Linked DNA regions of Lepisosteus oculatus. The protein of the gene in region 1 binds, or shares a complex with, the protein of each later gene. Links are inferred from orthologs where the notes say so. Each region holds a gene or a part of one and is shown on either strand. Other genes may lie near its edges.

What was found.
Region 2: cacna1c (region 1) and cacng1b share a complex: the UniProt entries of both Homo sapiens proteins name them as parts of the calcium channel complex. The link is inferred for Lepisosteus oculatus from reciprocal best matches to the Homo sapiens genes CACNA1C and CACNG1.

The regions. Positions count from the first base shown.
Region 1 is NC_090702.1:7,863,926-7,874,924, reverse strand, and holds the start of cacna1c (voltage-dependent L-type calcium channel subunit alpha-1C), read right to left. Parts: upstream 4,763-10,999; 5' UTR 4,339-4,762; coding exon 4,209-4,338; intron 1,429-4,208; coding exon of another isoform or gene 1,301-1,428; intron 167-1,300; coding exon of another isoform or gene 126-166; intron 1-125. Other genes in the region: dcp1b (mRNA-decapping enzyme 1B), read left to right, coding at 126-166, 1,301-1,428, 5,058-5,124, 7,208-7,337, 9,139-9,258, 9,987-10,733. UniProt on the Homo sapiens protein: Pore-forming, alpha-1C subunit of the voltage-gated calcium channel that gives rise to L-type calcium currents. Mediates influx of calcium ions into the cytoplasm, and thereby triggers calcium release from the sarcoplasm.
Region 2 is NC_090704.1:45,907,515-45,918,813, reverse strand, and holds the start of cacng1b (voltage-dependent calcium channel gamma-1 subunit), read left to right. Parts: upstream 1-6,028; 5' UTR 6,029-6,284; coding exon 6,285-6,525; intron 6,526-11,299. UniProt on the Homo sapiens protein: Regulatory subunit of the voltage-gated calcium channel that gives rise to L-type calcium currents in skeletal muscle. Regulates channel inactivation kinetics.

The DNA.
Region 1 (10,999 bases):
TAAGCCGTAGTGCTTTAATTTAAGCAGTTTTTCATTTTTCGCCGCAAATCTTTTTTCTGAAGGTAGTGCACATCCAGCAGTTCCAGTTTTAAGAGTTAATAACATAATGTTACCTTTCTCTTCAGGAAAAGACTGATGTGGAAGGAACTTTATTTGTGTATACAAGGTAAGGGAGGTACAGTATGTCTGATAACGACGTCTCACTTTATGAGTTGATTTGCCATAATGTATCAGTTTTGGAAGGATAACTGTGGACTATTCATCCTTTTTCTGAGTACTTCATCCAATTCATAGTAGCAGGGTAGTCAAAGATTAACCCAGCAAACACCAAGTGCAAGGCAAGGTAGACTCTGGATGGGACACCAGTCCATCACAGGACACACACAGGCACAGACATGCACACACTCACAATAGGACCATTTTTCCCAGAACATAATTAACCAAATTAATCTGCTGCTGTGGGAGGAAGCCAGAGCACACGGCGAAAACCCATGTTTATGATTCACCTGTAAGATGTTTATGATTCAGGAAAAAACAGGAAACAATTTCCACCAAATGCCAAAATATAATGAAATGTGTAATTTTGTGACCAAAACACAACCTACTGTATGCAGCGTAGGGGGAACACTAGAACAAATGACAATGTGAAGTCTGTTTGGAGCGACACAGTTTCATTCTAATGGATCCTAAGATACAGATGAAACAAAACAAAAAGAAGTTTAGAAATACAATTTAGAGTCTCTTGTTAGATCAATCAAATCAAGGAATGTAGGTAGTGATTAGTACCAACTAGGACTGTAATCCACTAGGAAAAGCAGGTTGCTGTAGTAGGTTGTGTTGGTGGGGCAGAAAGCGTCACTCTTTCGCCTGATGCGACGGCGGCCATAGTGCGCCAGAACGCTCACCACACATCAGCTATCAGTGGGGAGGAGAGCAGAGTAATGAAGTCAATTCATAGAAGGGCATTATTAGGAGGCCATGATTGGTAAAGGCCAAGGGGAAATCTGGCCAGGACACTGCCGGGGTTACTCTCCTACTGTTTATGTTTTGGCTTTCACAAACACTCTACACCAGTCTGTTTTTCTTCATTTCTTGGATGCAGGATAGATCACCTTAAAAAGTGAAGATCTCATGTGCATGTTAAACCCAGTGCTGTACAAAATTTTGATTTTTAAATCCATGTTTGTCTTTAAAGAATTTCTGCAAGGACTTTTTAACTTGATCCATTGCCTTATGCTTAGAGCTCCAAACAACACAATGAAATTTTGCCCTGATTTTTCCTGTTTTATTCTGGTCTTAGGTCTGCCTCCCCCAGGCATGGCTTCACCATAATGAATCGCCTGAGTATGGACAACCTCACTGAGCCAATAACCAAGGATCTGGACTTTCAGCTGCAGGACCCTTTCCTGCTCTACAGGAATGCCCGTTGTAAGTATGTGATAAAATGTATTAACACTGCTGGAAACAATTATTCATTTTTTTTGCTAGCAAAAAAGGTCAAGAAGCTTGTAAGTCCATCCAAAAAAAAATCCTCAAAAATGGCTGGGGCACTCTGAAGAAAAACATGGTCTTTCTATTTACTCCACACACAGTCCATATGCATAGACTGGTGCATGAACTCTTTAGTGAGGAATATAGACATTATCAGGCACCATATTCCTAAATTAAATTTGGAGAAATTAATAGCAATATAATAATTAAACGACATATAGTAATACGTGTGGGTAGCTGCGTCAGCATGCATAGGCTGCAAAGGAACAAGTAATAGGTTTATTCCATGCTGAAAAAAAGAAGAAAGCAAACACAACATTGTTTGCAATGGTCATGGCCGTCGGGGCCGTCTTCAGAGAACACATCAGGGCTGTGAAGATTAAAGATCTCTCCAAGTCTGTTGTTTCTTATTTCACCTCTGACGGCCACGACCACTCTAATCTCTCCGTCTGTGTTCTCAAAGATGGTTTTCCAAACTCATACATCAGAAAGACTACCGAAACCAAAATTATCCTGCAGCTAGGGTCAGACCTTCCCCCTTCTCTTAACGACATACTACTTTTCTTCTAAATTTTCTTCATTCATTAGAGGTTTCATTTCACACCTCTCTACACCTATTCTGACTTCACACCTCTTAATTGGCCTCTCTTTCTGTCCCCTGCTCCCACCTCTCGCTCCTCCTCTCTCCCAGCCTTTGTTCTCCTGCTACATTACCGTTGCCTACTGCCTTGTCTTTCTCACACCTGAAGAAGGCTCCACGGCCGAAACGTTGTGTTTTCTTTCTTCTTTTCTTCAGCATGGAATAAACCTATTACTTGTTCCTTTATAGTAATACACTTTGAATACATGTTGAAATCTGCTCAAAACTGTTACCATGGAAGGATAGAAATATGCACCCAGATACAAATTTTCTAGTGCTGCAAGATGTGTTTCTGTAGCAGGTTGATAAAATTACTGACGGGGTCCACCGGCTGTCAAATCACATTTCAGAAATGCTGTAAATACCGTCAAGGTTATATATTTAATATGGGAAAAGTCTGTGACAAGCAGGTTATTTTAAACTTTTTTTATGGGGTTTTAGTGTCCCTGCTGAGAACACCAGCGATTTGACATGGCATTTTATCTCCCTTATCCACCACCAAAGCCATTTATGTAGCTGCAGCACACCAGGAGTGTAACCTGTGAGGTGAAAAGGAGCCGGATGAACGGTTACAGAGGTGTTCTGCATGGTGATGATTGCAGCCCTTTATAATCAACACCTGCTTTCACAGCAGACAAGACTGAAGACTATTCTCTTAAGTGCGGAAATTAAGTAGAAGGATGTACAAAATTAAAGATGAGTCAGAAGGAACCACGCCCCGATCTGAAACGGAAAAGCACAAGAAAACTGGAAATGACCAGCACTGTACCCAGTACCCACTATACCCATGCAAAACCAAGTAGAATATCCATAAAATGTTACAAGGAATTTTGAAACGTCTCTGAAAAACAGCTAATGGCTAAAGGCACATAACATGATTTTACAGATCATAAAACTGGTTGGAAGAATTGGTTTGTGGCTTAATAAGGAGGACGATAATGAATGAAGAATATGTCAGAAGGAGATGGTGATAAATTTTAAAAAATAGGAATGTTTCCCTTTTGTAAGTTTTCAAGAGGAATTGAGCAAAACGTTTAAGTCTCATTTTCTTTTCAAAGCATAAAGCACTCAAATACATATAAAAATAGGGAGATTGGTGATAATCATAGTAGCTTGAGACCAGTTTGCTCATAAAGGACTTTCGTCTCCTTTTATGGTGCAAAGGTATTTTGGTGGGCAGTGAGCTTGCGTGTCTGGGCTTCTCTCTTGAGTGTCCTGCCAACACCAGAAACCAAGCCAACCGAGATAAGATAAAGACAGTTCTCAAATACACATGAAGCCCCTTCACATGCAGTGCCCACTGTAAGTCTTGATTCACTATGATGAACTTAAATGGCTGTGGTGTATTGCAGTAAGTGGCAGCCTCATTATTAATTGATAGATCTCATAATTCAAGTAACTGTATTTTATTTGCTCCTATTTAGAGGGCTGGGGCTGTTTAAGTTGACACATAGAGGCATTTTCAGTTTTATCACAGAGTCTAAATATGGTAGAAAGTGCAAGTAATTTCTACTGGGGCACTTGCCAGCGATTTGCTTTTTTTCACCTCGAAATCACGAGTCATACTGAATGACAAGCTACCCTTTACGTTTTCTTCATGTTTTGAGATTGTCTTTCTTAATTAACTGGGATATTTTAACTGAGATTCTGACATCCCTAAAATAACCATTCATTCAGAACTTCAGAGGCAACACCTGTAAGGGTTTTTTAAAAAAGCCTTTTTTTAGACCTTTGTAATCAGATGGTTTTATACTCGGTAACCTAGAGTGGCCTAGCAAAGGAATATTTTTGTGGCAGAGTGTCTTTGTAATTGAACCGCTAAACATAATTTCATGCTGATTTCAGTGACATAAGACTTAATAGAAAGACTTAACAATCCCTTTGAAAAGTGATAAAAAGACATTCTTCATAGAATAACTTATTGTAAGTTAGAATAAAACATCTAATCTGTTCTCAAATACTGTGTTGTGCAAAATGTAATTGTACTTTGTAAAAGGAGTAAAAAAGCCACAAATCACATTCTAGAACATTAGAGAATATAGTTTCAAGAATAGTCTGTAATTAGCAATGATCTTACCTCCAGGGCGGACATAGGTATAGTTGAGTTGCGTCTCGGACACAAGTTTTCCTTTGTATTTGGCATCTGGCTCTGGTGGCAAGCGCTGGTGCCTGGGCTTTCTATGCAGGGTGAATGCCTTCTGAAACATGATCTATCACCACTGTGGTGTATAATGAAGAACACAAATCAAAATCCTTAGAATCCTTTGTGCCCTCTCACCTGGTTTTCTGTATTCATGTGTCATATAAAAAACTCCGTGCCAGTTTCAGTCAGAGAAACAATTTCATGTAATCCTTAAGCGTGACCAAGCCGGTGTTCAGGAGCAGAATCCCACACAACTGAGGTTCACGAAGCTGGCGACGTTACACGGCACTGTACCTCTTCAGAGGTCCGCTGGCAGTATCGGTCTGCCTTTGTCAGGATATTTCTTAAGTTATCTGCCGCCTCAGCCCCTCTACTTGCCCGCTTTGTTTTTCTCTTTTATCTTCCACATTTTTTGGCTGCCCTGTCTCTCTCACTTCTGTTTGCAAGATTTATCTGAGGAGGTGTGGGGAAATGTTCACTGTCTGCTTGTCACCGACGCTCTTGACCCAAGCCCGATCAGCTTCGCCTTTCCTCTCAGCAGCATGGCTTTCCAAAATTCCAGCCCCGGCTACGACCCCGCCCTCTCCATCCCTGCCTAAGAGTTCCAGCTGATAAGCCCCTTGGGGCAGCTCTGTCACCTGAACATTTTCCAAATACTGTACATTTTGTTCTTCTCTGTCTTTAATATTACCATTAAATTGAATTTGTTGAAAATAACATCAAGATCTGTCCTGTCCCCTGAGCTGTTATAACCAGAATCTGTCTGTTATTTTTTGTTTCCAGTGTCCATTTATGGGATCTGGTTTTATGACAAGGAGGACTGTCAGCGGATTGCTGAGCTAATGAAGAAGTACGTTCATTTCAAATGTATTGTTTGTCTGCATCTAGTTATTACACCGGTTTGTAGCTCTACATTGTATTGTGTCATCTTTCAGCCAGTCCATATCCATAAATATTTGAATTGCTGTCACAGTACTTCTTGTTTATGCACAGCTATAGAAGTATTGTGGTGTGATCCATCCAAAGATTATGTCATCCTGTTACTGTGTCTCATTCCACACTCTCCCACTTAATCTTTCTTCTTTTCAAATGCTCGCTCAAAATCTGGATCAGTGGTTAGGAGGTGATGGTGTTCTGTATTATACATGCCTTGGCAACAGTGGATCAGAAATCCATTTACATGCCTTGCACAAAATGTTATGCTTGTCAAAGTCTCAGCATGGGGGAACATTCCTGACGTTCATTTTTGTGTCAGAATATTAATTTAGAGCCTACCTGTTATGGAAGAATGATGATTCAGCACTCATGGGATCTAGCTAAATACTTGCAAGGCACAATAAGGTTTTGCAATTGTTTATTTGCTCTCCTTTCCCTATCCTCTGTACTTTAAAGCCACACAATACAGTGTCTTTGGTTTGGTCTTGTTGCTACACTGTGAAAGATGAGATAACCTTAATCTTATCAGTTACAGCCTCCTAAAATATAGGTGTTATTTTTAGTTTTTCCAGGAAACACCTGTGGGCATTTGTTATCTTTTGCTGTCGTCTTAATCAGATCATTTAAGCATTCCCCTCTGTAGATTATAGGACATTAATAGAAGCCACGGAGAATGTGTAAATTTGAACTTAAATGTCTTTGATTGAAATAAGTGGATCATTTTTTAAGAAATACAATGTATATCTATATACACTTTTCAAATGTGCACTTGTCACTGTCTGGACCATTAAAAAAAATTAGGCCATTACAATTTTTTGCAATATTAAATCTTAAAATAAAGCCTGTTAACCTCAAGGGAAAATCAAGAGCAGAACAAAAAAAATACTATCCCAAACTGCAAATCATAATGTGCTGCATCATTGTGGGATAACTTTATACTCTACAACATGACACAGAAAAAATCTGGGCCACTGAATTTGCCTTCCACCAGTACAAGGAGACTGGGGTTCTCAATTAAATCAGTTTGGTAGATTACTGAACTCCCAACAACACACCTACTATTCAGTAGGTTGCCAAAATTGGGCAGGCTGTGAAGATTGAAGATCTCTCCAAGCCCATCATTTCTCATTTCACCTCTGACGGCCATGATCACACTGATCTCTCCGTCTGCGTTCTCAAAGTAGGGTTTGTTAACTCGACAGCAGAAGGAAATCAGAAACTAAAATTATCCTGAAACTTGGTTCACACCTTCCCCCTTCTCTCAACGATAGACTTGTTTCCTTCTTATTCTCTCTATTCATGTGTAGGTTTCATTTCACACCTCTCCTCCCCTCTCGCGACCTCGCACCACTTGATTGGCCACTTTGCCTCTCCCCTGCTCCCGCCTCCTCCTCTCTCCTGGGTTTTGTTTTCCAACACTATATGTTCTTTGCTGACTGCCCTATCTTTCTCACACCTGAAGAAGGCTCCACAGCCGAAACATTGTGTTTTCTTTCTTCTTTTTTCAGCATGGAATAAACCTATTACTTGTTCCTTTGCAGCCTATGCACGCATGCTGATGCAGCTACCCACCTGAACTGATATTATTATTCATCTTCATGTCTCATTTAATCATTATAGTACACATTTATAAGGTGTATGTCTACCCTTTAGATAAAATTACCTATACAGTGTTTAACAATCAATTATGTTTTAGTGTTTCCTCAGACACTGTAAGTGCTTCTCCTTCTTGTTCTGTGTGAGGCAGTGGCTCAGGAGGCTAAATTGAGAGTATTATTTCTGAAATTGGCTCTGTGGTATAGAGACAGTTTCAAGCAAATGATAATTATATGGCAATCAAGTGCGTTCTGCACTGCAGGGCGGTATAGTTTGATTTTGTAAAATGCACTCTTACAAATGTGCAGCAACAGTGTACATTTAGCCTCAGGACTTTGCAGCTCTGTGCAGTATGTTTATACTAGATGGATTATGCTCTGGTGACTTTCCTCCTCCTCCAGTTTAACGCAGCAAGAACAACTGAAAGCTCAGCATGGGGGAGGCGTGTCTCCCAAAGCTCTGCACTCAGGGGACAGTAAAGGGGTCGACATCCTCCAGATGCTGAACAAGGCCAGGGATGAGTATGACAAGGTAGGTTTAATTACTAGTATACCACTAGGTGGCACTAGTGTCAACTGATACCCTCAGCTCCAAGAACAGTGTATCTCAGCTGATAAGGAGTAAATTACATTCCTGTAAGTATTTAGTATTGTTTTATTTTTAACATAAACATAAAATTCTAAAAATAACTTCATTTCTCTGTAATTGTACTGAGAGGATTCTAAGGCATATGAAAAAAAAAGATTTTAAAGTATTAAAATTAACTTTTGTACCAAAAGTCAAGAAGTGTTTGGAGTAGGGCTAGTGTTGAGGAACCAATTTACAAAAAATAGCAGAGATTTGCTTCCCATTAAAGTAGGTTATAAGCTTCTCATTGGAGCCCCATGTAGTTTTATAAAGGTTGTTGAGAACAACAAGGAAGAAGCACCATGTAAAAAAAAAACTTGTGAAGTTGTCTTTTGTCTCATTCTTATGAAAAAGACCCAAGTGTTTATGTTAACAACTCATTTACATCTTCTAGACAATGTGAAGAAGCAATTAAAAAACTAACAAATAATAGGATATATAAAGCATAGAAGTTAAAGCAAGGGATGTTATGTGAAGATTGTATGATGCACTAGCAATGCCTCATTTATACAGTTGTGTACAATTTGGGTCATCGAAAAGACATTGCTTCTGTGGGATCAGTCCAGAGAATCTACATCCTGGGGCTTCAGGAAATATCCTACACTAAAAGGCTTCAAAAGAAAAAAATATTCAAAATAAATGGCACTGACAGTCGACACAGCAGATTTCTTCACTAAACAGTGAAACATGAAGTGGAGGACTCTAAGTGTAAACTAGATGGAAGTGCATTTTAAAACAAGAACAGGAGACACTTCTGTACCCAAAGAGTTGTGGGAGTCTGGAACAAGTTACTTAGCCATGTTGTTGAAGCTGATACCCTAACTTTTCTGAAGTTAGGCTGGATGAAATCCTTGGACAGTTAACTACTAACCTCCAAATAGGTTAGATGGGCCAGATGTCCTCCTCTTGTTCGTTAGTAATGTACATTTTCACTGTGAGTGTTAAGGGACTGAGGCTCACTACCTTGACATTGCAAGAGCCAAACCAATAAAAAAGAAAATGCATTCCTGAACCTTTTCTTAGCTTGGCCAAAGCCATAGGTTCTTATCCTGTGAAAATGCTGATAGGATACCTGCTTCCTTATTGAGCATTAACTGTCTGGGATTAATAAGGCATAGCAGCAGTTTACAAGATATTTTCTGCTTCATCATATTTTGTAATCTTCTTTGTTCTCTTCTTTCTTTTTTGCGAAGGTCCTCTTCTCCTTTGTTCTTCTTTCCTCTTAATGCTTGGTGTTATTTTTAATGACATTTCAGGAATATTTGCTTTTGAAAAGACATTATATAAGATAATTTCTTGTATTAGGAATTTGTCTTTTCGTATACCCCAACTTGCTCTCCATGAGACACACAGACAGGGAGAGAAGATTGGGGCCAGAGCACAGGGTTTGCGATTTATGCGACGCCCCTGGAGTAGTTGGGGTTAAGGGCCTTGATCAGGGGCCCAACGGAGTAGGATTCCTCTGCCAGCTGCAGGATATGAACCGGCAACCTTCCAGCCACAGGCGCTGATCCTTAGCCACAGAGCCACCGCACCGTCCCATCAGTGCAGATTTCTTAATTTTGTGACGGTTACAGTGCTTATTGCCACAGGATGGAGCCGTCATAACAAGATGCAAGACTTGATTGATCTTCTTGAGCGGTGAAAACAGGAGCTGATAATGACTTGTGATCTTTGCCCTCATTAAATTCTCTGCCTTTCGTAGAGTAAGCCTGAGCCGAAGGAGATCGCTGGCAGTAGTGTGATCTATGACAACCCCAACCTGATCAAGCCGATCCCCGTAAAGCCCATTGAAAGAGCCTACAGTTCTCAGCAGCTCCCCAAGGTATTTGTATCTGCCTTGGGACTTGCAGAAGAGCCATTAATCTTTAGTGTATGCAAAATGGGTGCAGATTTTTAGCACTTTCTAGGATTTTCTGGGGATCCAACCAGTGTTTCATTCTGAGACTGTAGTCCACTTTATAATTTGTATAATATTATAGTCCACTTTTCATTTACCTGTCCTGTCATTCATGTGTTAAAAAAATATGCATTGATTTTTTTCAGTAACTCTCTATTTAATTAGAAAGTGTTCAATTAGATTTAAAATGTAATCTGTTCTCGTTTGCAGTCATCCGCTTTAAATCTGTGGAAAATGTTCTGTCCTTTAATGCTACCAGATAATCTGTTTCATCACTATTATTGGAGAATTTATTAAAGTATATTAACTTTCATGAGGAAGACACTGAAATGTAGTCCTTTTTAAGGCACTGGAAGGGAAAAGGAACACTGCACGTTATCTCCTCTTTCCACTGTGTACCTTAAAGGTGGTGCTTTGTCTTCACAGTTGAATGATAGTTCTTTTTGCATTGAAGCATAAATCTTAGACTCTTTGAGAAACATTTTCTGGGGCAATTCTCCATACTGGACTGTTTTCTTGATTTCTAACCATCAGTGCCATGTTCTATAGCCATGTCAATTCCATAATATAACCATAATAGCCATGTCAGTTGGTAAAACATGCTACACCTTGTTGATGGTAAATAGCTTGTCTTGTCTTATCTTCTCTTAAAGGACGGTGAGACTGAGCCCAAGCATTTATCCCTCGCTGCCCTCTTTGGAGTGCAAGACAAACAGGAGCCTGTCTCCCCAGGTGCAGGCGACAACAGGGCGCAGGCGGCTGGCTGTAAAGTTGGGGGTCGCCCTGCCGTGGCACGATCCCTCTCCTATGAGGAGCCAGCGCAAGTGATGGGCAAGACAGCGGTGGGCAGCCCCCCTCAGCACTGTCCTGCCATCCAGAAGCTGATGACGCACCGCGGGGCTGTGGAGCTGCAGCCAGTTTCAGAGTCTCCCGAAAACCGGCTGTGTGAAAACGGGGGCCTGCAGCCCCCCGCAGTGGCCCCCTGTGCGAGCAGAGACCCACTGCAAAGATTGTTCCAGCCTCCCGCTCCCTGCTGCGCTCACCCACCTCCTCAGCTCCAGACCGCACCCAACCTGCTGCACAGACTCCCCGTAGTCAAGCCGGACCGTGCAGAGCCACTGAGCTTCAGTGGTGCCCACCAGTCCCAGGCGCTTTATTTTAGCCCCAGCAAACCACCGCTGGTGGCCGCCGCCCCCCAGCACTCAGTTTCGGGGGTGGTTTCCCCCCATGAGCTGCTGCACAGATTGCAGCTGGTCCAGCAGGAGCAGAGCATGGATGCTGCCAGGCCAGCGTTGGCTGCCCGCTTCCACGAGCCCCTCAACCAGACCTCCAGGCCCTTGGACAGCTGGGCAGACAAGACCTCTTCTGCAGTGTCCGAGAAACCCAACCCTTTGTTCCAGGTAACAGTGCCATAAGTAAGAACAGTCACTAGGTATTGGAGAAGCACGTAACTGATTTCATATTCTTTGTAACCAGAATAAATCTTTTTCAAAAAAGGAACAAGTAATAGGTTTATTCCATGCTGAAAAAAAAGAAGAAAGAGAACACAACGTTTCGGCCGTGGAGCCTTCTTCAGGTGTGAGAGAGACAGGGCAGTAGGCAAAGGTAAAGTAGCGGGAGAACAAAGGTTGGGAGGTTGGAAATTTAAAAGAACAGTAATCTGTCG
Region 2 (11,299 bases), on another chromosome or scaffold:
ACTGCGGAATGCCAGCAGGGCCCCCTGCATGGTCATCTTAAACACTCCCTTTATAATAATGACCGCAGCGACCTGTTAAAAAAATGCAAAATATGTATTAGCATTATTGTACCTCAATTGTATATGAATAAAAAGAATCAAATATGCAACTTTTGTATGTACTGCATGTAGCCATCTACCGTACAGAAATAGGAAGTCTTTTAAAATTAAGCATTTACTAGGAATTAGGCAATTGTGAATATTATGCAGCTCTGGCTGTATCACAGTGCTACGAAAGCAGAACTACGTAACAAGACTTCTAATTCTGCCTCATGCATATAAGGTCAAAGTTAGCAGCGGTTTGCCTTTTATGTGGCTCTTCCTCACAGTGCTACGAAAGCAGAACTATGAGACAATTCTGCCTCATGCATATAAGGTCAAAGTTAGCAGCAGTTTGCCTTTTATATGGCTCTTCAGCATGGTATATTGTACTTAACCACTGACACAGATGCATATATGGAGGAATGATTTTTCAGGCCCATACCGTCTTTAATGGCAAAGCTCTGAACCATGGGAATGGACATCAATCAGCGCTTGCCATTTTGCAACTCTGACTCTGAGTGCCTAACCAATCTGTCTGTCAGCCGAGTAGACTACATGTCTATGGGCAGTTCCACACATGAAAAGATGGAAGGTGGCACGGAGGTGCAGTGGTCAGCACCGCTGCCTCACAGTGCGAGGGTCCTGGATTCAATTGCGGACCTGCGGTGCTATCTGCGTGGAGTTTACAAGTTCTCCCTGTGTCCGTGTGGATTGCTTGCTCCAGTTTCCATCTACAGTCCAACTACTGTGGTAAGTTAGTAGCCCTGGTGTGGGTGTGTGTCCTGCAATGGACTAGGTGTCTCCTCCAGAGTGCCCTTTGCTTATTGGGATAGGCTCTGACTCCCCCACAGCTCTGAACTGGAATCAGCAGTAAGAAAAAAGGATGGATGGATGAATGGAAAAGGTGGAAAGTGAGCTCCTCAAGGAGAGCTTGTGGGACACGGTCTGTGTGCCTTCAGCAGTACAGCGTCCCAGGGTGCTCCGTGATGGGTGTCCACTGGAGAGGACAGCCGCTCTGTCCCTCACTCACAAGCGCCAGAGCACCAAACCTGAAATCTCCTGACCTTTAAATCCACATTAGCAGACTAAAAACGAGAACAATACAACAACACCATGTGTGCTTAGGCAAACTAGAGTCCAGATCTCGACTGCGGACAGCCGTGTTCACCTCTAGTCCCAGGGATCTTCCTTCAGCATTAGAATCCAGGTGTTGCAGGCAAGATTATCTGCATTAACAATTGTACAATGAAACCAAATCATTTACTGTGCCATCTTAAAGTTTTGTTAATGGTGCTGTAATTGTTCTTACTGGTAGCTAAATACATACAATCGCACCTTCAGAAGGTCAGTCAAGTATTTCAGAGACACATGAAAGATTACAGAAACGGGAAAATGGCTGCAGTCATATACTGTACACACCTATATTTAGAACAGCCCATTCCTCCTGCAGCCTCCATCGAAGGCATATCAGGACTGCTTTAACCTACTTGATATGAGACGGCTAAATTTTGCTCGACCTTGTTACAGATGGCCCTAGGGCTTTTGCAGTCTACTTTTGCTGGAGTTAAGTTGTGTGTCTCAAGGAAATAAGGTGCATGGTGTAGATTCCCTCTTCAGACTTTCAGCCTTTGCATAGATCTGTTTATATCCACACTTACAGAGTAAAAGCATTTTGCTCAAGTCATGATGAAGAGAACTGGGAAAGATAAACTAACATCATTGCAGTGAGGGAGGGACAGTAATAGATTTTTAAAACAATCTACAATGCCATCAGACCAAAAGCAGCAAAGTTAGCTTATATACAGCATGACATTTTGAAGGGCATCAGAGAAGAGATAACTGTGATTGTGAATGGATGGGTAGATAACCTTTCACACTCCACCTCAACAAATGTGCTCACTGGATTCTGGTCAGCTTTGTATCCCTGTGGTGTGCTGCCATACCTTGGGCAATAGTGCTTTCTATTGAGACTCTCAGTGTCAGCCTGTGGTCTGACTGCAGGTTGGAATTCTAGGAATTCTCATTCCTGGGTCCTTATTTCAGGCAGATGGCCAAGGAATAAGAGGCTGTCTACCCAGAGACATGAGCAGTAAATCTGCTGACTGCAGAAGACCCTTCAGCTACCCAAAAGAGAGAGGGGGGGTGAAATTGTCTATAGGAAAGCTGAAAGAAGGAGGTGGAGAGACGGAGGAAAAGCTCTTCTCCTGAGCTTGCAGAAGGCCCCGGGGGTTGCCTGTATATTCCAGGGTGCCCACATATAGACACAATCACAGGTCAGCACGGAGAGAACATGCACAGTATGGAATCAAGTTGAGGACTCAAGAACTACCAGGCAGCAGTAATTAACAATATACCACTGTGCCACCATAATGTGAAGACAGACAGGTAGTTCTTTGTTTATGTTCCCTTAATTTGCTTGTTTCCAATTTAGTGCTCCTTATAATATATTTCCTCATTTAGAACAGAATAACTCTTACTTTAACATGCTTGGCCACAAAGTCTTAGAGAGTGTATTCTGCGTGTACCCAGTATCGGCCTGTATGCGAAGGAACACATTTTCCCTAACTCACTCTTGCTGTTAGCGTTAAGTTGTGTTAAGGCGCTGTCAGAATCGTCATCCCTCCTCTTAAGGGCGCTCCGACCCTTTCGTATTTTAGTTCATTTCGTGCACCTGCCCCCTGTTTAGCCTGACACTATTTAAGCCTGGCGGTCTCACTAGTCCTGGCTCAGCACTGAGGGATGGATGCCCAGAAGCCCGCCTACCAGCAGCATCCTGACCATCTGAGTCCAGGGCTCAGAGCGCCTGGCCTCGTCACCCTGGTTTTATTCCCTGTTCCTGTTCCGGATCCCATTCCGGATTTTAACCTTGTTTGTCTCGGATGGATCTCCCAGTTCCTGGACTGTGCCCCAGATTCCCCCTTGGACTGTCTGGACTCGTTTGCCCATGCCACGCCCCCCGAGCGCCGGATCACTGTCGTCACGCTCTCCTGTCTGCCAACCCGTCCTAGCCTGCTGTACCTTCCCTGTTGTCCTTCTCCACTTACTTCCGGATTATACCGTCTGCACAGGGTCCTGAACTACGCCTCGCAGGGACGAGGGTTTAGCAAGCGTGCTATAGAAATGCTTGGTAAGGCGAATAACATTTTGATCAGAGCTCGTCCAATAATGTGGAAAAGCTGGCACTTATTTATGACGTTGAATAAATCAAATAAGCTTCCACCCCATTCACTACCCTCCCCTAACAACAGTCTTCACTTCATGTTTCATATGAAATTGATCGACATTAACGAACATTTCTTCCAAATGACTTTTAGTGCAACTCTATAAGCATCTTATATTGAAACATTTGCTTATTTTAGTTATTAAGGGGTTAAAATCTTTGGGTGAGGGTGAACCCCAGAATGCTTCCTCCCTATATACATTCATATTTATGTGAAACTGCTGTGGAATTCATTTTTAATTTACCCATTTCTGAACTGTGCGGCATTTTTCAGGAACGCATTCATTCACATGAATCAAGAACTACCCCTACTGCATTTTAACAGAGATTAAATGGTTCAAGTTGTCATTTGGATTTTTTTTATATTGCATCTCATAAATACAAAATATATATCCCACCAGCATTCCCCAGCTTCTGAATCCAATCTAACTGGGTTTTACCACTGTAATGCATTATGCATTGGGAACCCAGGCTCCAACCACAGTGTGATTACTGTACATAAGTGCTCTGTCTTGTGCACACCTGAGTCGCATATCATTTCAGATTTCATTACTAATCTCAAACAGAAACCTGTAAGTGCAGAAACACTTTGGCATCCCATGTTAAAATCCAAAAGCTCTATTTAAATTGTCACAGGAGTAATTGGGTCAGAAGACTAAGAAAGTAGAGCACAGCTGACAATTTATAAAAAGCACTTCACTACGGAGTGCCCTATGGAGAATATGCTGCAGACCGCGGAAGGCGTGAAGGGCCGCTTGACATTGAGCGAACAGGAAATGTGGAGGACGAAGGACACTGAAAGCAGGTTCGGTTCAGCTCCAGTTGTCCCTCGGAGCAAGAAGACCCTCTGTCTTCTCAGACCCACTCGTCTCTCAACGGCCATGAGTCAAGCCCTGGGGTCCAGAAAGTCAGGGCTCCAAACCCGAGGTGGCCCCCTGACCTCTCCTCACTCTGCAGGGGTCCCTGCGATGTGCTGGGTTAAGCAAGCCTGGGACAGGGTGCAGTCCTTCTTCACACTGGGCCAGGGGGAGCTGTAGGACAGTTTCCACGCACTCGCCACCACATTCCACCACGCTCTCTTCACTGCAATTAACCTGCTATCCCACCACGTCTCCCCTTCTGTTCTTCTTAAACCTTTCTACCTGCCCTCTCCATGCTCACCATTGAGTTCAACCCACCTGAGTTTAACCTTTTGCCGCCTGTTTGTCGCACTACTTTTTGGATAACGGACACTGCCTTCACCACCGACTACGGACCTGCCTCACCGACCGGATTCGGTGTTCGGACTCTGCTCTCTGGATAGCGGATCTCCGCCCTCCTTCCTGACCACAGCACTGCTTTCCGATTTGGACTTCGGTAATGGAACACGCACTCTCTCTCACTCCTGCCTCGCGCAGGGTCCGAATCAGCCCCACTGGTATTTGACACAGGTTCCATTCACCAACAATGGAGATGTCTCTTTAAGGGCTGTCATCTTGGTAGGGGAACCTCCCAGACCCCCAGCACCTCATAGCAGTCCTCTACGATTACAATGTCCACAGTTGTATGCTACTACACAGCAATTCCTAGGGTTTACGGAAAAGTGCTGGAGAGACAACTACTAGGATCAGAGGTTAGGGGCACCGGGATGATTTTGAATTTAACACATTCTAGAAGCCAACTTTCTTTTTTACTTACAATAGCAGTTACACAGACAGTCCTTTATCTAACATACTCACCGTGCGTACCAAAGTGTCTTAAACAGAGGCTCAGACTTTCCTGTTTCCCATTTATTTCTACAGCATGAATAGAAACAGCTCTACGTGATGCTATGCCAGAAACTATTTTATCACTGGTGTGACAAGGGTCACATCTTCCCCTTTCACTCCAATAACAACAAGGATGATATAAGGCCCATAGTTTCCCATCTGTTTATCCGTCAAACGTTAAGTGCCTGTAGATCGGAGATCTGAAATGTTCTGTTTAATGAGAAGCTAATTTATGGTAACAAATACACCTCCTGCATCTCTGAGAGCAATGACAGCACGTTTGCATGTCTGCGAAAACCAACAGCTGTTGTTTAGACACAGATTTCTCTGTATAAATAGTTTATAGTAGCATTTAAACTAAGTGCCTGGTGGGAATAAAGTTTAGATTAGGAATGTTAAGAATACTATGATGATGCAATTGAATAAAAGTTCAGTAAATGGGGACAAATCAAGACTGTGAACACAGACTGCACTCTTCAGAACAAAACAGAGCTTTTCACACATTCAGGTTATCCAAGCTATCCTCATAAAGCTCATCAGAAAATAAAATTCGAATGCAACTAAGAAATGCATTAAAAAACTATTATTCCCTTTGTTCCAAAAATTAAGGAGAGAGATATTGCAAAGTGATTTCAAGGAAGGAGAAAAGAAATTCAGACTCAGTCGTTTTCACTTTGCACTAACACAACAACACCAGGAAAATCGAGGCTTTATATTAACTGTAGAAAACTCAGCAACACACAGCAGAAACCTCAAAAACTATGCCCACACTCTTCTCGGTGATTAATGAAGTACTTGTAGTTTAGCAGACGGCCACAGCCCTGTGCTTAACGGGCATGCTGAGAAAACATAGAGACGAAACCTGATAAGTGGACATCCTGACAACCTGACTCACAGCTCACATTAATAGCAGCAGCTACCCGCCCATCACAGGCAGCCAGTGTGGTCATCAACTTTTCTGATATGCATCAACAGCTGTAGTCTGAACCACACTCCTCCTCACTCCATGAGGAGAGAGAGAGGAAAAGAAAACTAGGGCACTGTTTTCTGGCCACTTTTTTTTTTCCTCCCAACGAGCGACAGGGATTTGGAGTGGGCTGAAGCTGCGAGCAGAGGGGACGTGGGAGTGGAGGCTTAAGGAGAGGTCTGCAGAGTCCACAGGCAGAGCGGCGGAGGTGAGGCTGTGAGGCAAGAAAAAAAAACCCCCGCTCCAGTGAGAACCGACAAGCAGAGCCATGCTGGAGGACAAGACCACCAAGGTGAGGATAGCGTTCTTCGTCATCCTTGTCGGGATCTCCGCCATGTTCGCCGCCGTGACGACGGATCACTGGGCGGTTCTGAGCCCGCGGGTCGAGCGCCTCAACACGACGTGCGAAGCGGCTCACTTCGGACTCTGGAGGCTCTGTAAAAAGACCATCTACATGGAGGAGCCGGACCCTAGGGGCAAGGGCTGCGGGCCCATCAGTCTGCCTGGAGGTAAGACCCTTCCGTCTCTGAGCGCTCTGGGCCCCAGGCCCACCAGGGGTAACACCGAGGTGCGGGGCCGTGTGAAAGGACAGAGAGAGCGAGGGGCTCTAACCCAGCAGGGCTGCAGGGCTGCTCCAGGAGGAAGGCGCTGTTACAGCGTTAGTTTGGCAGGGTTGACAGATAAACATCTGGGCACCGCGCCTCTCCCTGTGGGTGTGCTCCTCGCGCCCCGGTCAGAGCCAGCTCGGGCGCTCAGGACCTGGAAACCTCGCTCACGCAGACAAGCGGGATCACTCACTACACCCGGAGTTCGAATTCAAATTCAAATTCCTCCAAGACCAGCTGCAGTACGTACAGTCACATACACTTTATACATAGAAGAGTTGTGGGTATTGTATATGTACATCTATCCATTAGCTTGTCTGTAGCCCAAAATGGGAAAACACTACGTTATTGAGAATACCGATCGGACGCACAGAATATTCAGATAATCACGGCAATGGCGAAAAACAGTCTTTAAAAATCAGCACTATTAATCCTTTTTAACAAAAAAAATGCTCCACGCACATTTTAATGAAACTAGTGTTCATGATTTAGACAAAACCAACATCCGTACAAACATGATTTATGCAACTTCAGCCTAACAAAAGAGCAGAGGTCTTCCCTGTTCTTCACACGTGTTGTGCTGTAACATCCCAAGAAAAGTCCTGCGATGACAACTCTGTGCCACCAGTCACAGACAAGCCAGCCCACTGGTCTGCTTGTTAGAAACTGAAACAGGCTCTTCTGCTGAAACAGCGTCTTTTTAACACAGACGGTAAGACAACTCACCACTGAGAGATTTCTGATAGAGAAGGAACCTTAATACCAGAAGAGCAGAGATTCATTTGATGCAAATCATAAAGCAACACACAACCCCAGCTCCTTTTCATCATGAACTACAAGAGTAGACATAGAAATGTTTTGCCTGAAAGATTTATTTGCAAAAGAAAAAAGAAAATGAGGCTCTTCATTGTCACAAGGGCCCCTTTAAATGCACAATTTATGTGCAGTGAACTGAAGCAAGTAATTGTCTGTGTCGGTATGTGTGTTATATGTTTGCAAAACAAGATGGCATGGTACCATGGAAGACAGAGCTCTTAAAAAGGAGCCTGTTTGTATATTTGGCTGACCTGGCTTCCAATATCTGGGTGAGATAGGAGCTGGGAGAGGTCTCTGTTTGCCTAAAAACACTATTTACAGTCACAGAGCAATAGGTCTCACTTTGCACACTTTTGTAGTAGTGCATCAAAAAAAGAATTATTGCATGAGCAATGGTAAATGTGCACCATTAACCCATCCGATTTGATTGGCAAACAATTGTCTAATAGCTTTTAAGAAAGAAAGAATGGCATTTGCTTTTCTCTCTTCTTCCCTAAGACTTAAGTCTATGGCGTTAAATGCCCCCTGGTTGAAAAAGACATGTCTTCATAAAGCAGGGTCTGTTAAAAAAGAGAAATGTGGCCTCAGTTTTTTTTTTTCATGAAGTGAAGCATTTAACCGCAGCACATATTTGGGAAAAGCTCTCTTCTGCCTCCAGCACTTACAGCACCTAGAGAAAAGCCCCCAAACCCAAGGTGGAAAGAAGAGGATCATAAGTGAATATTCAGTGAACTGTGAATATTGTGTCATTCAAAAAATGTTTAAAGATCAACCCTATGTTTCACTGTGTCTCACCTGGGCTGTTTCAAGTAAAGTTGCATTTTTTTTCTTTGAATTACTCGCATCCAGTACCTCAGCTACAACTCCACTGCAATTGCTTCCCGTTTCCCTGCTTGATAGGGCTGAGGGCTCTTCCTACAGCCGCCGCAGTGTGCCGAATCTGCAGCCGGCCAGCCCTCCCTCAGCGCAGAGCTCCCTCGCTGTGCGTTGAAAAAATGAAGTTAAAGGACATTACACGCACGAGTCTTGTGAGAGATCTGCACACAGAATCCCCTCACAAGTGGAACAGCCAAGGGCTGTGCAGAACAGCTCTGAACTCGTCGCCGCAGAGACAGAAAACCACAGACCCTCATGCTTCTGAGCGTTTCAAAGGCATCCTGCAGGTTCACAATGTGATTTTTCACAGCTTTCTAGCAAAACGGAGACTTCTGCCGTTACATGTTGTTACTAGTCCAATCCTTATCAAGCTATCCCAGTTTTGTGACCTGCTTTGCAACACATAAAAAACATAACGAAAGTCATTCAGCCCTTTTAGTTTGTTTTGGAGTGAGGACAACCTCTCTTTCTAGTGCCCTGCTTTGCCTGCTCCTTCGGTTTTTAATTTGCTTTCCGCAGTCTCCCTTCCTTTCATCGTACTCTGCCACTGGATTGTCTTTGGAGGGTTGAGAGTCTTCACTTTTCCGTTAGCGGCCTGGGGCAGCGCAGTGTGTCGGCTTGCTTAAGCTCGTTCAATGAAACAGACGCAGGGAGAAGCAGCGAGTAGAGACCGAAGAAAATGACAGTGGAACTGATTCAAAAAACCGCCCAATTTAATAAGACAGTGTTAATAAGACAAGGCAGGTGAAAAAGAACAGTTGGGGAAACAGAGAAGCTCTGCATGCTTTGTGCAAAATGTGTGCAATAGGGGTTCCTGTTTTGGAGGTTTCATTTGATGAAAACTATATATAGGCAGCAGTGTAGAATAATGGCTAGGACTCTAGACCCAGATCCAGAAAAGCTATGGGTTCAACATGTGGCGCTGTCACCCCTGAGTGAGGCACATCACTCAGATTGCTTCAGTAAAATGCGCAGCTGTATGAACGGACACAAATGTGAGTTGCTTCGGATATAATCTGGCATGAACAGCTACTGTGCATTAGTGCGTGTTCATGTATGAGCTCCCCGGGGAGCAGAACATTTCTAATCACCCAGAGATCTGGACGGGGCCAGCTGGTATGAGACCACCTTGCGTGCATGAGGCTACAGTGGGCAGGGCTGCCAGGACAGAAATAACCCAGTGCTCTCCAGCGCAGGCTGAAGTTTACTGAGGCACCTTCGCTTTATTAAAAAATAAGCAGAGGTTTTCTTGGGTGCTGTACAACAGTATTGCTTTGCTGTTGTTTTTTACCTGGTATCATAAAGACAGGACGGTTTCGAAATGTCAAAGTCCGCCTGATACAGCGCATGCAGATATCATCAGGGCACTACAGCAGTATCATGGTAGTTTTGGAGCCTAAGAGGGGTCAGGCTGTACTATTTTAGAGCTCTGCTTTTTTTAAAAATAAATCCAGTACGGGTCTATGGGCTCAATACTGACTACAAGATATAACAGCAATTTCTCCAGATGTAGCTTTTAAGGTGAAGAAATTCTGGGCATTTCACTAAAAGAACAATTTGTCAGTTCTGCGTCTGTGTAGGAACAGATGAACTTGAGAAAGGTTATCAATGAGGGGTGGACATGTGGCCAGTCTGGCATGTTTAGATGGTAATAGCTAAATGACCCAAGGATCTCATACAACTGTTTTTCAGCCTTCAATTTTGCATAAGAAACGAAGCTGAACACAAACAGACTATAAACTAGAGGTTACGGGTTTCCAGGTGAAGTGCTGAGAGAGAGGTGTGTTTGTCTCTCTTTCCGCTGGGAACGGGTTGCCTTTGGCTTGCTTGACTTCGTCCGAGCACTCCTGAGATCCCCTGTCTGCTGAAAGCGAGCATGAAGGACTACTCATTAGTAGCCAGACAGACACAGAGAAAATCTTAATTACATAAACAGTATATATGATTGCAACAACCACATTAATGTACTGTATCTGCAGAAAGGGACTTTGGTTCTTCCTCCAGCATGTGGTTGGATAATTTTAGGCTTCAGTCAATGGCCAGCTGTCCCAATAAAAAGAAGCTGCAGAGCCAAGTTTTTCCCTGAAGTTCCAAACACCAGTGAGTGACAGAGCCATGTGTGCTGGGCTCACATAGCACACATACTTCATGCAGAGCAAGGAGCCCAGCAGGGACTGCTCCCTGTCCGAGGCCCATCCAGCTCACAAACCATTAGAGAAACTAACGTTGAATCCTGTGGAGTCATTTTTTGGTGAAAGACAGTCCAGCCTGGTTCCCAGTATATCAAAAGACACACAGCAAGCACAGTGGGTAAGGACAGAAGGTGCCATCTGTTCTCCTTGTGATTAGAAAAAGAACACCCTCAAGCTCTGTCTACACCTGTTTGCCGGAGTCAAGCTGAAAGCCTTTTAGCTTTGCAGATAGTGCCAACAGGTTAAGACGTTATCATTAAACACATGGCTCCCCTGTGACAATGTTCTGCAACTTGTTTCAGAACCCTGCGCCCTCAATCCCAGCCTGGGCTGTCGCCGAGCTTGCGATTTCATTTGCATTTGACAAAACGGCACCCCAGAAGTGTGACAATTTAAAATACACACCTTTTAATTAAAAGGCATTTAACCAAGCTACTTTTTTCACCTCAACACCAACAAACTTATGAAGACACCTCGGAGTCATCTGCTTGGATAGTTCATGGGATGCTTGTTTCCTGCAGAATGCAAAAGAGATTAAAAATGTGTCTCTTGTTGACAAAAAAGAGTTTACATGGGGTCGGAAAACAGGGGTCAGGAGAAAGCCAGGCTGGGAGAGAAGCACAGAAATGGTATAATACAACAGCTTTTGTCATGTCAACAGCTACAGGATGATGCATGTCCCTTATAAGCCCAGAAGAGCCCTTTATTCTTAGAAGCAATGCCTGTCACACAGTCCCCACGTGGCTGCCTTCTGAGACTCGCTTGGTATTAGCAGAACGTGTTCCAGCTGGATG